Linked DNA regions of Macaca mulatta. The protein of the gene in region 3 purifies or fractionates together with the protein of the main gene of each other region. This does not show direct contact. Links are inferred from orthologs where the notes say so. Each region holds a gene or a part of one and is shown on either strand. Other genes may lie near its edges. The genes, in order: PELI2, IRAK3 and IRAK1.

Region 1 (2,781 bases), on a different chromosome or scaffold from region 3:
AAAGATGTGGAGCCCATGGAGGGTGGTTCACTGTTACCCCTTCCAAGAGCTTGGAAATTATTACCCAAATTTCAACTTACATTTAAGCTGAATTTACTAAAAGTCAGAAACTTTTAGTTAGACATATGCCCAACTATGGGATGTGTCCAACTTGGGGGATATGTCACGTTGCAGAATGACTAGATTCATAAACAGGACTTGAAATGGAAAATTATGATATACCTAACTCTCTGGAAAAATATATTTTTTCTTGGTAGGTAAAATCTGGCCTTTCTGGATGCAAGACCATTTAGCTTACAAGATGGTTTTAGGGCATCAAGAATCCTTCAACCACTTTCTAGGCGTACAGCAAGAAAAGAGAAAGAGTGCCTCCTTTATCATTCTTTGGGGCCCAAAGAATTATAGGCTGAAAAGACAAACTCTATCAGCGAAAGCTAATCATCAGAGGCTCTGGCTAAATCAAAAGGCATTAAATATATTATTCTAGGCAAGTCCATTTTTTCTTTCATTTTCTGTCTGCAGGTAGAGTAAGCTATACAGAATAGAGCAAGCTATCCATAAGAGGACTGTTGTCAGATTTTCACATCACTTAAAATTTATCCAAAAAAACCAAAACCAAAAATGTCTCATCCTAAACAACGATCTCCATTGAAAAATAAAGCTATATTAAAACTGAGAGGCTGAACTTTAAACATATTATGTCAAATTAAGCAGCAGCAATCAAGAGTAATATATCATATCACTTTAAGGAAAAGGGTACTCAAAATAGGTTAGAATGGCTGAAAATAGGCAAAATATTTGCCAGTAGGCAAAATACGAAAAAACCAATTCAAGTATGGATATAGTACATTAGAATCATATAAATTACGTATATGTACAAAGGTTAAAAAAAGTCACCCAAATCTGCAATGGTCAAATTAAGAGAACATTAGTTTAAATAAATACTTACTCCATGTGGCAGGGTTTTATTTTATCTCAGCCAGCTTCTACTAGTCTCATGTCCTAAAGGATCTTTGCCTTCTGGGAGCAGTGATACGACTGGTGCTAAGCATCCAAGAATTATTAACCAAAATGAAATGAAAGTAACAGGAATGGTGGAGCTCATATGAAATTCTGATTTAATTAATCCTCAGCAAACACTCATTTGTTCTCTCAAAATCAGGAATTTTGAATTATCTCTGCAGACGTACCACTTGGTGTTGTGTATATCTAATGATCCCACTTAAATTTAATTTGATTTGCAAACATTTCCAAAACTTATTGGGCTCCTTAAGCTGCAAGGGAAGGTGACAGATGGCAAAAAGGGAGTGCGCAAAGATGCCTGTATCATTGTGATTGGTTTGCTTTCAGACTCATAGAATTTGGCTTTCTTAACAAAGGGAAAAAGAAACCACAAAAAAACCCCACAAGCTTTATGAAACCCCAAGTGGTTTTAAAAAGTAAAAGCTTATTTTTAATCATTCTTAAATCTTAATTCAGTCAGCAAACAAACATGGTAGTATAGCACCCAGACCATGTCTACTACTGTAATTATCCTCAGTTAGTGAGTTTTTAAGAGCTGATGTATTGTAATCAACCGAACAGTTCTGGCCATGCAAGATGAGTATCAGGGGCAAATCATATTAGGCAGAAATAACAAAAGACAGGCTAAAAAGTTACGGAAAATTGTCTGTGAAGTGCCATGTATTTGATGAATGAGTATCTAAAGTAAATTCCACTGAAGTTAAAAAAAAAAAAAAGCCCATGAGATATGAATATTCTCTCCCCCAACAAGTCAGAAAAATAAATCAGAAAGAAGCCCCAGATTTCAAAACCACCTGTGTCTAAGGCCATCTGTCCACCAGTCACACTGTACAGAGCCGCCCCTCTGCTGTCTGGTCAGGTTGGAGCCATGATCAAGTATTTCTAGACACTGTGTGCCCTTCGCGTCACACCTACACCACACTGCACTGAAGGGAACTTCATGAGCCCACACTTTTGAATACATTTTCTTCTACATCTGTAAAATATGATTTAAAGTCTTGTCCAAGATTACAAAACAAAAACAAAAACAAAAACAAAACTTGGTTAAAAACCCAAGGTTAAAAATAGAAGCATGGCATTTTAAATCCAATTATTACAAAGATATTATGGTTTAATCAAGCAGACTTCAATGACGATGCTGCTGTTCTGGGCATGCAACACACCACTGGTATCTGTTACACTCCTGCCATGTTTCATCACTGTGTGTCCCCTCTCTTTATTTCCAGCCCCGTCACCCTCCCCTAATAAACAGCATTACAAAAAGGTAAAATCTAGAGTTAGTGGCAAAATCTTCACAGTAACCTGTTAATAAAGTCGTAGTTGGCTGTCAAGGGTGTCAGTCAATTGGACCTTGGAAAATTAATTTGATGCAGTTTTGCTCCCCAACCAGCTGCGTAGCACAGAAAGGGCAAGCAGCGTGAAATGCATGAGTTCCATGAGGCAATGGGATCTGAGACCAATATTTTGCAGACTTCTCCGAGCACACGTGTCCACAGGGAGTGAAAGCATGAGTTGGCGGTCCTGCGTCTACATAAAATCCTGCCTCACAGCCAAGCCAGAGAGGCACATAGGGGCCCACAGTCCTGCACATGGGACACTCCCTCTCGTTGGCCTCCGTGTCACTCCGATGGCCCCAGTTGTGGTACCCATGCACATGGCCACAACTGAGATATGCCCAGGGCTGCTTCTCCTCCACCACCTCTTTCCTGTTGATGCTGGGGAAGGCCAGGGTGTTGAGCCCCACGGGACACTGCGGCC
Region 2 (3,653 bases), on a different chromosome or scaffold from region 3:
TGGGGATACTCAAAGTATGATTTCTACTTAACACGTATCACTTTTGTGCCATTGTAAAGTCCAAAAAAATCATTTCATTGAATCATCATAAATTGGGACCATCTGTACACAGAATTGTCTATCCTACATTGTTCATTAATAATTCCCAAAGATAATGCAAACCCTCTTTTTGGCAACATACATATAGCTTTTTAAATTTGGTAGACACATTTTCATTAATAAAAATATAGGATTTTTAAATACCTAGATGACAGTTCTTCACACACACACACACACACACACACACACACATACCAGGAGAACTACAGCAGAGAATAGTGTGAAGTATGACTCACGTGTGAGGATAAAAGAAGCTTTCAGGAATAACCAAAAGCTCTGGAATCATTTACCTTGATATACTGCCACAGATGACCGAGCATGGTTGAACGTTGTGCAGGTAGTGAATGGCTTTAGATATTCCTATTAATATACTGATTCGAACGTGCCAAGGGAGTGGGGCTGTGTCACCCTAAAACGACAACAGCAATTGGTTTGGTTGCACTTTCTGAGTAAAAACTACCTATGTATTCCTTATGCAGACATACACCAGAATAGAAGCAGATAGCAAGGTGGGGTGAGGTGGGTGAATCAACGTTTTGGTTTTCCAGAACTTATTTTTAATTCCAGATGGGTTTCCTTTTGCTACTGATGACAGTTCTAGGCCTCTTTATAGACAGTGAAAATACTCCATACTTCTTAATATTAGCTTAATCAAAACATAGCTAGTAAGGTAACACTACTTAAAAGTTCATTAAATAAGATTTTTAAGTTACTTGTGGTATAATAGTATGAGAAATTGAGACAATCTGCTTTTATTTTCATCCTCACTGAAACTTAACCTATTTGGAATCAATTTTTAAACTTAACCTCCAAAAACATCTAATGAGGGATCATGGCATTTATTCAACCTCCTTCTCTCTCTCTCCCTCTCTCTGTCTCTCTCTCTCTCTTTTCTTTCTTTTTTTTTTTTTGAGACAAGGTCTCACTCCATGTCACCCAGGCTGGAGTACAGTGGCACAATCATAGCTCACTACAGTCTCCATGTCCCTGGGCTCAAGCAATTGTCCTGCCTCTGCCTCTCAAGTAGATGGGACAGGCATGTGCCACCATGGCCAGCAATTTATTTACTTACTTATTTGAGGCAGAGTCTTGCTTTGTCGCCCAGGCTGGAGTGCTATGGTACAATCTCCAGGCTGGAGTGCAATGGCACAATCTCGGCTCGCTGCAACCTCTGCCTCCTGGGTTCAAGTGATTCTCCTGCCTTAGCCTCCTGAGTAGCTGGGATTACAGGTGCGCACTACCACGCCCAGCTAATTTCTGTATTTTTAATGGAGATGGGGTTTCACCATGTTGGTCAGGCTAGTCCCGAATTCCTGACCTCATGCTCCACCCATCTTGCCCTCCCAAAGTGCTGGTATTACAGGCATGAGCCACCGTGCCCAGCCTATTCATTTTTTTAGTAGAGGCGAGATCTGGCTATGTTGTTGTCCAGGCTGCCTCTTTCTCTTTAGAGTCTGTGTCACTGTTATGGCAATCCTTTGTATTGAAGGATACTTTATATAAAGTTATATAAATTAAAATTATCTAAGGAATAAGAGTAGTTGATGGCAACTCACTGGAGGTACAGAATCAAATATAATATAACATGGTTGCCAAAAGATTTGCTGGGTTCTTACTATATAATGAGTGAGAACCCAATATGGTTGCCAGAATGTTGCACAAAACACATTAACTCAGGTATTTGCTCAGCCTCCTAAAAGTAAGAAATTAATCCAAGAAGTACTGCTTCCTTGGGAAACCCATCCTTCGCTTTCCCCTCATGCAAACACATCTTGCCTCCCAGCTCTCCCAGATGGTTTCAGCAGCTCTCCCAGGACTTCAGGGGGTCAGAGGATCAGACAGAATAATAGAAAGAACTTACTACACACTGCAATCTGTCAAAAAGTGTTCCATTTCTCATGTATGGATAAACCAGACAGAACTTCTCAGTCTCTGTAAAATATGCAGTCAACTCGAGTATGTTTGGATGGTGAAACCTTGAAACAAAAGATGTTTTAAAGCCATCAAATTGCGTATTCAGACAGGAAATGAACAACACTCCGGTGTGGGAGTAGTAAGGTGGGATGGAGAATAGGCTTAAAGCAGAATATAAATTTGGCTGGACACATTGGGCACAGGACACAGATTTGCTTTCCAAACTGGTCTAAAGAGTTCTAACGGCAGGGCGCGGTGGCTCACACCTGTAATCCCAGCAATTTGGGAGGCCGAGGTGGGCAGATCACTTGAGGTCAGGAGTTTGAGACCTGCCTGGCCAACATGGTGAAATCCTATTTCTACTAAAAACACAAAAATTAGCCGGGCCTGGTGGTGAGCACCTGGTTATTCCAGCTACTCAGAAGGCTGAGGCAGGAGAATTGCTTGAACTGGGAGGCAGAGGTTGCAGTGAACCTAGATCATGTCACTGCACTCCAGCCTGGGTGACAAGAGTGAGACTCCACCTCAAAAAAAAAAAAAAAAAAAAACAAAAATTCTAGCAAATACTAGTTACTGTTTTTGATTGACTGTAATCATGTAAATATAAATAAAACATCCAAATATAAGGCACAAATTTTCAAAAAATAAAGAGTTTTAAAGATTTGTAATATTGGAAACTTTACAAAAGATAGCACTATTCAATATTAACTTATTTTTATCAATATGAAAGACAACATGACTTATTAAGTAAAAACAGTACAACTAAAATTGTTAGTTTGATTTATTTAAGTATATAAGTTTAAGCCACCAAAACGTAAGAATAAATACCATTTTCATTCATCCACTTATGGAGCACTACTATGTCAGGGACTGTGCTAAATACCAGTTACACAGCTGAAACGAGATGTCAGTGTCTTCACAAAGCTTGCATTGTTGTCTAAATCCATATGACTAGTAATGTTTGATGTTGAGAGTATATCACTGATTTTAAATCACAGATTTCTATGTCAGTGTAGCATACATTTCTCAGGCTTTTCTTCCCCTAATAATCATTTATTAGCTTATTAACAAAAACTATATTCCTCAATAGTGTGTGCTATCACTATGAGCCCAGGTAACAACTAGCAAACATAAAATGTGAAATTCACACATACTGTGAGCTCAGTTTAATTCAAAAATTACTTATGGGATACCTACTATGTTCTGGGCAGGCTTGGGGATATTAAAATAAATCTGTAAAAAATATTCTATTTATAAAAGCCTATTATTCATTTCTGCAGTAGCAAAATTTTCCTATAAACACACACAATCCTATATATATTGTGCATATGTGGTGGGGGAGGGGGGTTCTGATTCCTTTTCTTCTTCTTACTTCAAGGAAGGAAGCATGTGTGTGTATGTGTGTGTGTGTGTGTGTGTGTATGTGTGTGTATACATGTACACACACAGAGAAGTTTTTATTTTTAAATATATCAAAGTCTTCTGTGATACAAGATCCCCACACCTATTATGATTCCAACTATACCTATAAAATGAAAAGCAATGGATTGAAAGGAAATTGAGGTAGTGTATTTAACAGTCCGTGTATACCTGGTTGGTTCTTCTGCAACTTAAAATAATTCAGAGAGACGAATCTTCCG
Region 3 (3,653 bases):
CCACAGAGAGAGGCACCCCACAGAGAGAGGCTCCACAGAGAGAGGCTCCACAGAGAGAGGTACCCCACAGAGAGAGGTACCCCACAGAGAGAGGTACCCCACAGAGAGAGGTACCCCACAGAGAGAGGCTCCACAGAGAGAGGCTCCACAGAGAGAGGCTCCACAGAGAGAGGTACCCCACAGAGAGAGGTACCCCACAGAGAGAGGTACCCCACAGAGAGAGGTACCCCACAGAGAGAGGTACCCCACAGAGAGAGGTACCCCACAGAGAGAGGTACCCCACAGAGAGAGGTACCCCACAGAGAGAGGTACCCCACAGAGAGAGGCTCCACAGAGAGAGGCTCCACAGAGAGAGGCTCCACAGAGAGAGGTACCCCACAGAGAGAGGTACCCCACAGAGAGAGGTACCCCACAGAGAGAGGTACCCCACAGAGAGAGGTACCCCACAGAGAGAGGTACCCCACAGAGAGAGGTACCCCACAGAGAGAGGTACCCCACAGAGAGAGGTACCCCACAGAGAGAGGCTCCACAGAGAGAGGTTCCACAGAGAGAGGTACCCCACAGAGAGAGGTACCCCACAGAGAGAGGCTCCACAGAGAGAGGTTCCACAGAGAGAGGTACTCCACAGAGAGAGGTACCCCACAGAGAGAGGCTCCACAGAGAGAGGCTCCACAGAGAGAGGCTCCACAGAGAGAGGTACCCCACAGAGAGAGGTACCCCACAGAGAGAGGTACCCCACAGAGAGAGGCTCCACAGAGAGAGGCTCCACAGAGAGAGGTTCCACAGAGAGAGGTACCCCACAGAGAGAGGCTCCACAGAGAGAGGCTCCACAGAGAGAGGTTCCACAGAGAGAGGTACCCCACAGAGAGAGGCTCCACAGAGAGAGGCTCCACAGAGAGAGGCCCCACAGAGAGAGGTTCCACAGAGAGAGGCTCCACAGAGAGAGGTTCCACAGAGAGAGGTACCCCACAGAGAGAGGCTCCACAGAGAGAGGCTCCACAGAGAGAGGCTCCACAGAGAGAGGTTCCACAGAGAGAGGTACCCCACAGAGAGAGGCTCCACAGAGAGAGGCTCCACAGAGAGAGGCCCCACAGAGAGAGGCCCCACAGAGAGAGGCTCCACAGAGAGAGGCACCCCACAGAGAGAGGCACCCCACAGAGAGAGGCACCCCACAGAGAGAGGCACCCCACAGAGAGAGGCTCCACAGAGAGAGGCTCCACAGAGAGAGGCTCCACAGAGAGAGGCTCCACAGAGAGAGGCTCCACAGAGAGAGGCTCCACAGAGAGAGGCACCCCACAGAGAGAGGCTCCACAGAGAGAGGTACCCCACAGAGAGAGGCACCCCACAGAGAGAGGCTCCACAGAGAGAGGCTCCACAGAGAGAGGCTCCACAGAGAGAGGCACCCCACAGAGAGAGGCTCCACAGAGAGAGGCACCCCACAGAGAGAGGCACCCCACAGAGAGAGGCTCCACAGAGAGAGGCTCCACAGAGAGAGGCTCCACAGAGAGAGGCTCCACAGAGAGAGGCTCCACAGAGAGAGGCTCCACAGAGAGAGGCTCCACAGAGAGAGGTTCCACAGAGAGAGGTTCCACAGAGAGAGGCACCCCACAGAGAGAGGCACCCCACAGAGAGAGGCACCCCACAGAGAGAGGCTCCACAGAGAGGCACCCCACAGAGAGAGGCTCCACAGAGAGGCACCCCACAGGCTCCTGACAGAGAGAGGCACCCTGGGGGTGGAAACAGGACCAGAGGCCATCTCCAGTTCTGAGATCAGACAGACCAGGAGGAACAGCCAGGGTGGGCGGTGGCTTTCCTCGCAGAGGGAACAGCACATACTAAGGCTGTGAAGCAGGTGGCAGGGAGCGCCCCGAGTCCTGGGGACCTGGGGCATTGTGGGGTCAACCACATAAGGGATTGGGCCTTCACCCCAAGAGCAGAGAAAATGCAAAGGGGCCTTTGAAAAGAGCACTTTGGCTGCAGGGTGGGGAGCAAGTGGGAAAGTCCAAGGACCCCCAAGGAGCCTGCTGCGCTTCTTCAGCAGGATGCATGGATGGATGGATGCGGAGGGGAAAGGAAGGAGGGCTTGAGCCCAGCTCCTGGGTTCTCAGCGGGGCTGAATCCTGATGGAGACCCCACAGCACACAGGAACAGCCCCAAACAGGAGGAGAAGCAGTGAAGCAATTACTGGCTGAGCACATTCTGTGAAGTCTGTTTTGCATGTGGGAAAACAGGCCCAGAGGGGAGCAGGAATTTGCTGGAAGGCCACTATCAGGCTGGGGCTAAAACCCAGGTCTCCAGTCTCCTGGCCTCACCACAGTCCATGGTGAGGCAGACAGAGTGGAGTAAGAGCATGAGGCAGCTCAGGCTGCCCTGCACGGCGTGGAGAGCTCAGCTGCAGCCTGCTAGGGCCCAGGAGGTTCCTCGGGTCCTGCTTCTCTACCCAGCGCCCTGGGACCGCCCCTCCCCCTGCCCCCAGCCCAGATGGGGTCTGTACAAGGCTCATAGTGTCTGCAGGCAAACAGGTTTGTTCTCAGCAAGGTAAACGGAGTTGTTTGAGGCCCTGCCAACTTTCACAAATGCGGCCACTGTGGCAACAGAGGCATCCATGGGCACTGCGCCCCAATCATCCCCACCGCTGGGGCTGTGCCTGCTGGCTGCCAGCAGCTGTGTGTCCCCGCCTGGCCCCGCCTCAGGGGGCTCACCAGATACTTGATCCTGGCACCGTGCGTCTTCACAGCCCTCTGAGCAGCCAGGGTCTCGAGCACCACCTGGAGAGAGGGAAGAGGGAGAGCATGGCAGTGGCCTTGGCAGGGAAGAGGCCTCTGGTGTGGACATGGATCGGGCCTGACAAAGGTGTGGACAAAGGCAGAGCCAGATGTTATGGGACTGAAGCTCAGGCGACTTGGAGGGCCCATTTGAAGACAAATTACAAACACACAGTTAGGTGCAGGGTGAGGAGGAGAGCCTCGGAGGGAGGGGGGCCCTGGAGCTGCAGCCTCTTGGGGTCCTGGCAGATGGCCCCTGGCCCGCAGTGCACTCTGCGGCCCCCACCTCTGCCTGCCTGTGGCTTCTCCTCCTCTGAGCCAGCAGAGGGGTCAGTGGCTCACCACCCCAAAGCTGAAGGTGTCCGTGTCCACAGCCAGCCTTCCTGTCTTGATGTACTCCTCGGGCAGGTAGGCCAGAGTGCCCCGCACTGTCCGCGTCCGGGCCACCGTGCTGCTCTGGCTGGGGCTGGACCCGGCAAAGCGGCTGAACCGGGCCAGGCCAAAGTCTCCCAGCTTGGGTGTCAGCCTCTCATCCAGAAGGACATTGGAACTTGGGGAGGGAAGACAGTGGCGTCAGCCCAGTCCTAGCTCCTACACCTGCCCGGCTTAGGTAAGGCTGGACTTGAGGCTGCCAGCCCAGTGCCTTGCCCACAGAAAGTGCTGGCACTGCCCTGAGTACTCCAGCCGCCTGGGGGCCTCTGCTCATCAGTGGGGCCCATCCTTGGCCTGTTTCCACACCTGTGCCATACCGGGTGTTGAGGTCCTAGGCCATGCCTGATCCCCACATTGACGGGACGGGGCCCCCCTTGCTGCAGGCCCTGCCCCTGCAGTTCTCATGGGCCCCTCCTCACCTCTTGATGTCTCCATGGATGAGGCTGGGGCTGTCCT

The links.
Region 1: the proteins of IRAK1 (region 3) and PELI2 purify together in Homo sapiens (affinity purification with western blotting; 7 studies listed by BioGRID and IntAct, with this or other methods). This does not show direct contact. The link is inferred for Macaca mulatta from reciprocal best matches to the Homo sapiens genes IRAK1 and PELI2.
Region 2: the proteins of IRAK1 (region 3) and IRAK3 purify together in Homo sapiens (co-immunoprecipitation; 3 studies listed by BioGRID and IntAct, with this or other methods). This does not show direct contact. The link is inferred for Macaca mulatta from reciprocal best matches to the Homo sapiens genes IRAK1 and IRAK3.

What each region holds. Positions count from the first base shown.
Region 1 is NC_133412.1:129,443,505-129,446,285, reverse strand, and holds part of PELI2 (E3 ubiquitin-protein ligase pellino homolog 2), read right to left. Parts: coding exon 2,360-2,781; 3' UTR 1-2,359. UniProt on the Homo sapiens protein: E3 ubiquitin ligase catalyzing the covalent attachment of ubiquitin moieties onto substrate proteins. Involved in the TLR and IL-1 signaling pathways via interaction with the complex containing IRAK kinases and TRAF6.
Region 2 is NC_133416.1:73,372,985-73,376,637, reverse strand, and holds part of IRAK3 (interleukin-1 receptor-associated kinase 3), read right to left. Parts: intron 2,076-3,653; coding exon 1,961-2,075; intron 509-1,960; coding exon 390-508; intron 1-389. UniProt on the Homo sapiens protein: Putative inactive protein kinase which regulates signaling downstream of immune receptors including IL1R and Toll-like receptors.
Region 3 is NC_133426.1:160,264,755-160,268,407, forward strand, and holds part of IRAK1 (interleukin-1 receptor-associated kinase 1), read right to left. Parts: coding exon 3,617-3,653; intron 3,316-3,616; coding exon 3,108-3,315; intron 2,769-3,107; coding exon 2,703-2,768; exon of another isoform or gene 1,892-2,702; coding exon of another isoform or gene 1,622-1,891; intron 1,371-1,621; coding exon of another isoform or gene 1-1,370. Other genes in the region: uncharacterized protein LOC144338623, read right to left, coding at 1-1,370, 1,622-1,891.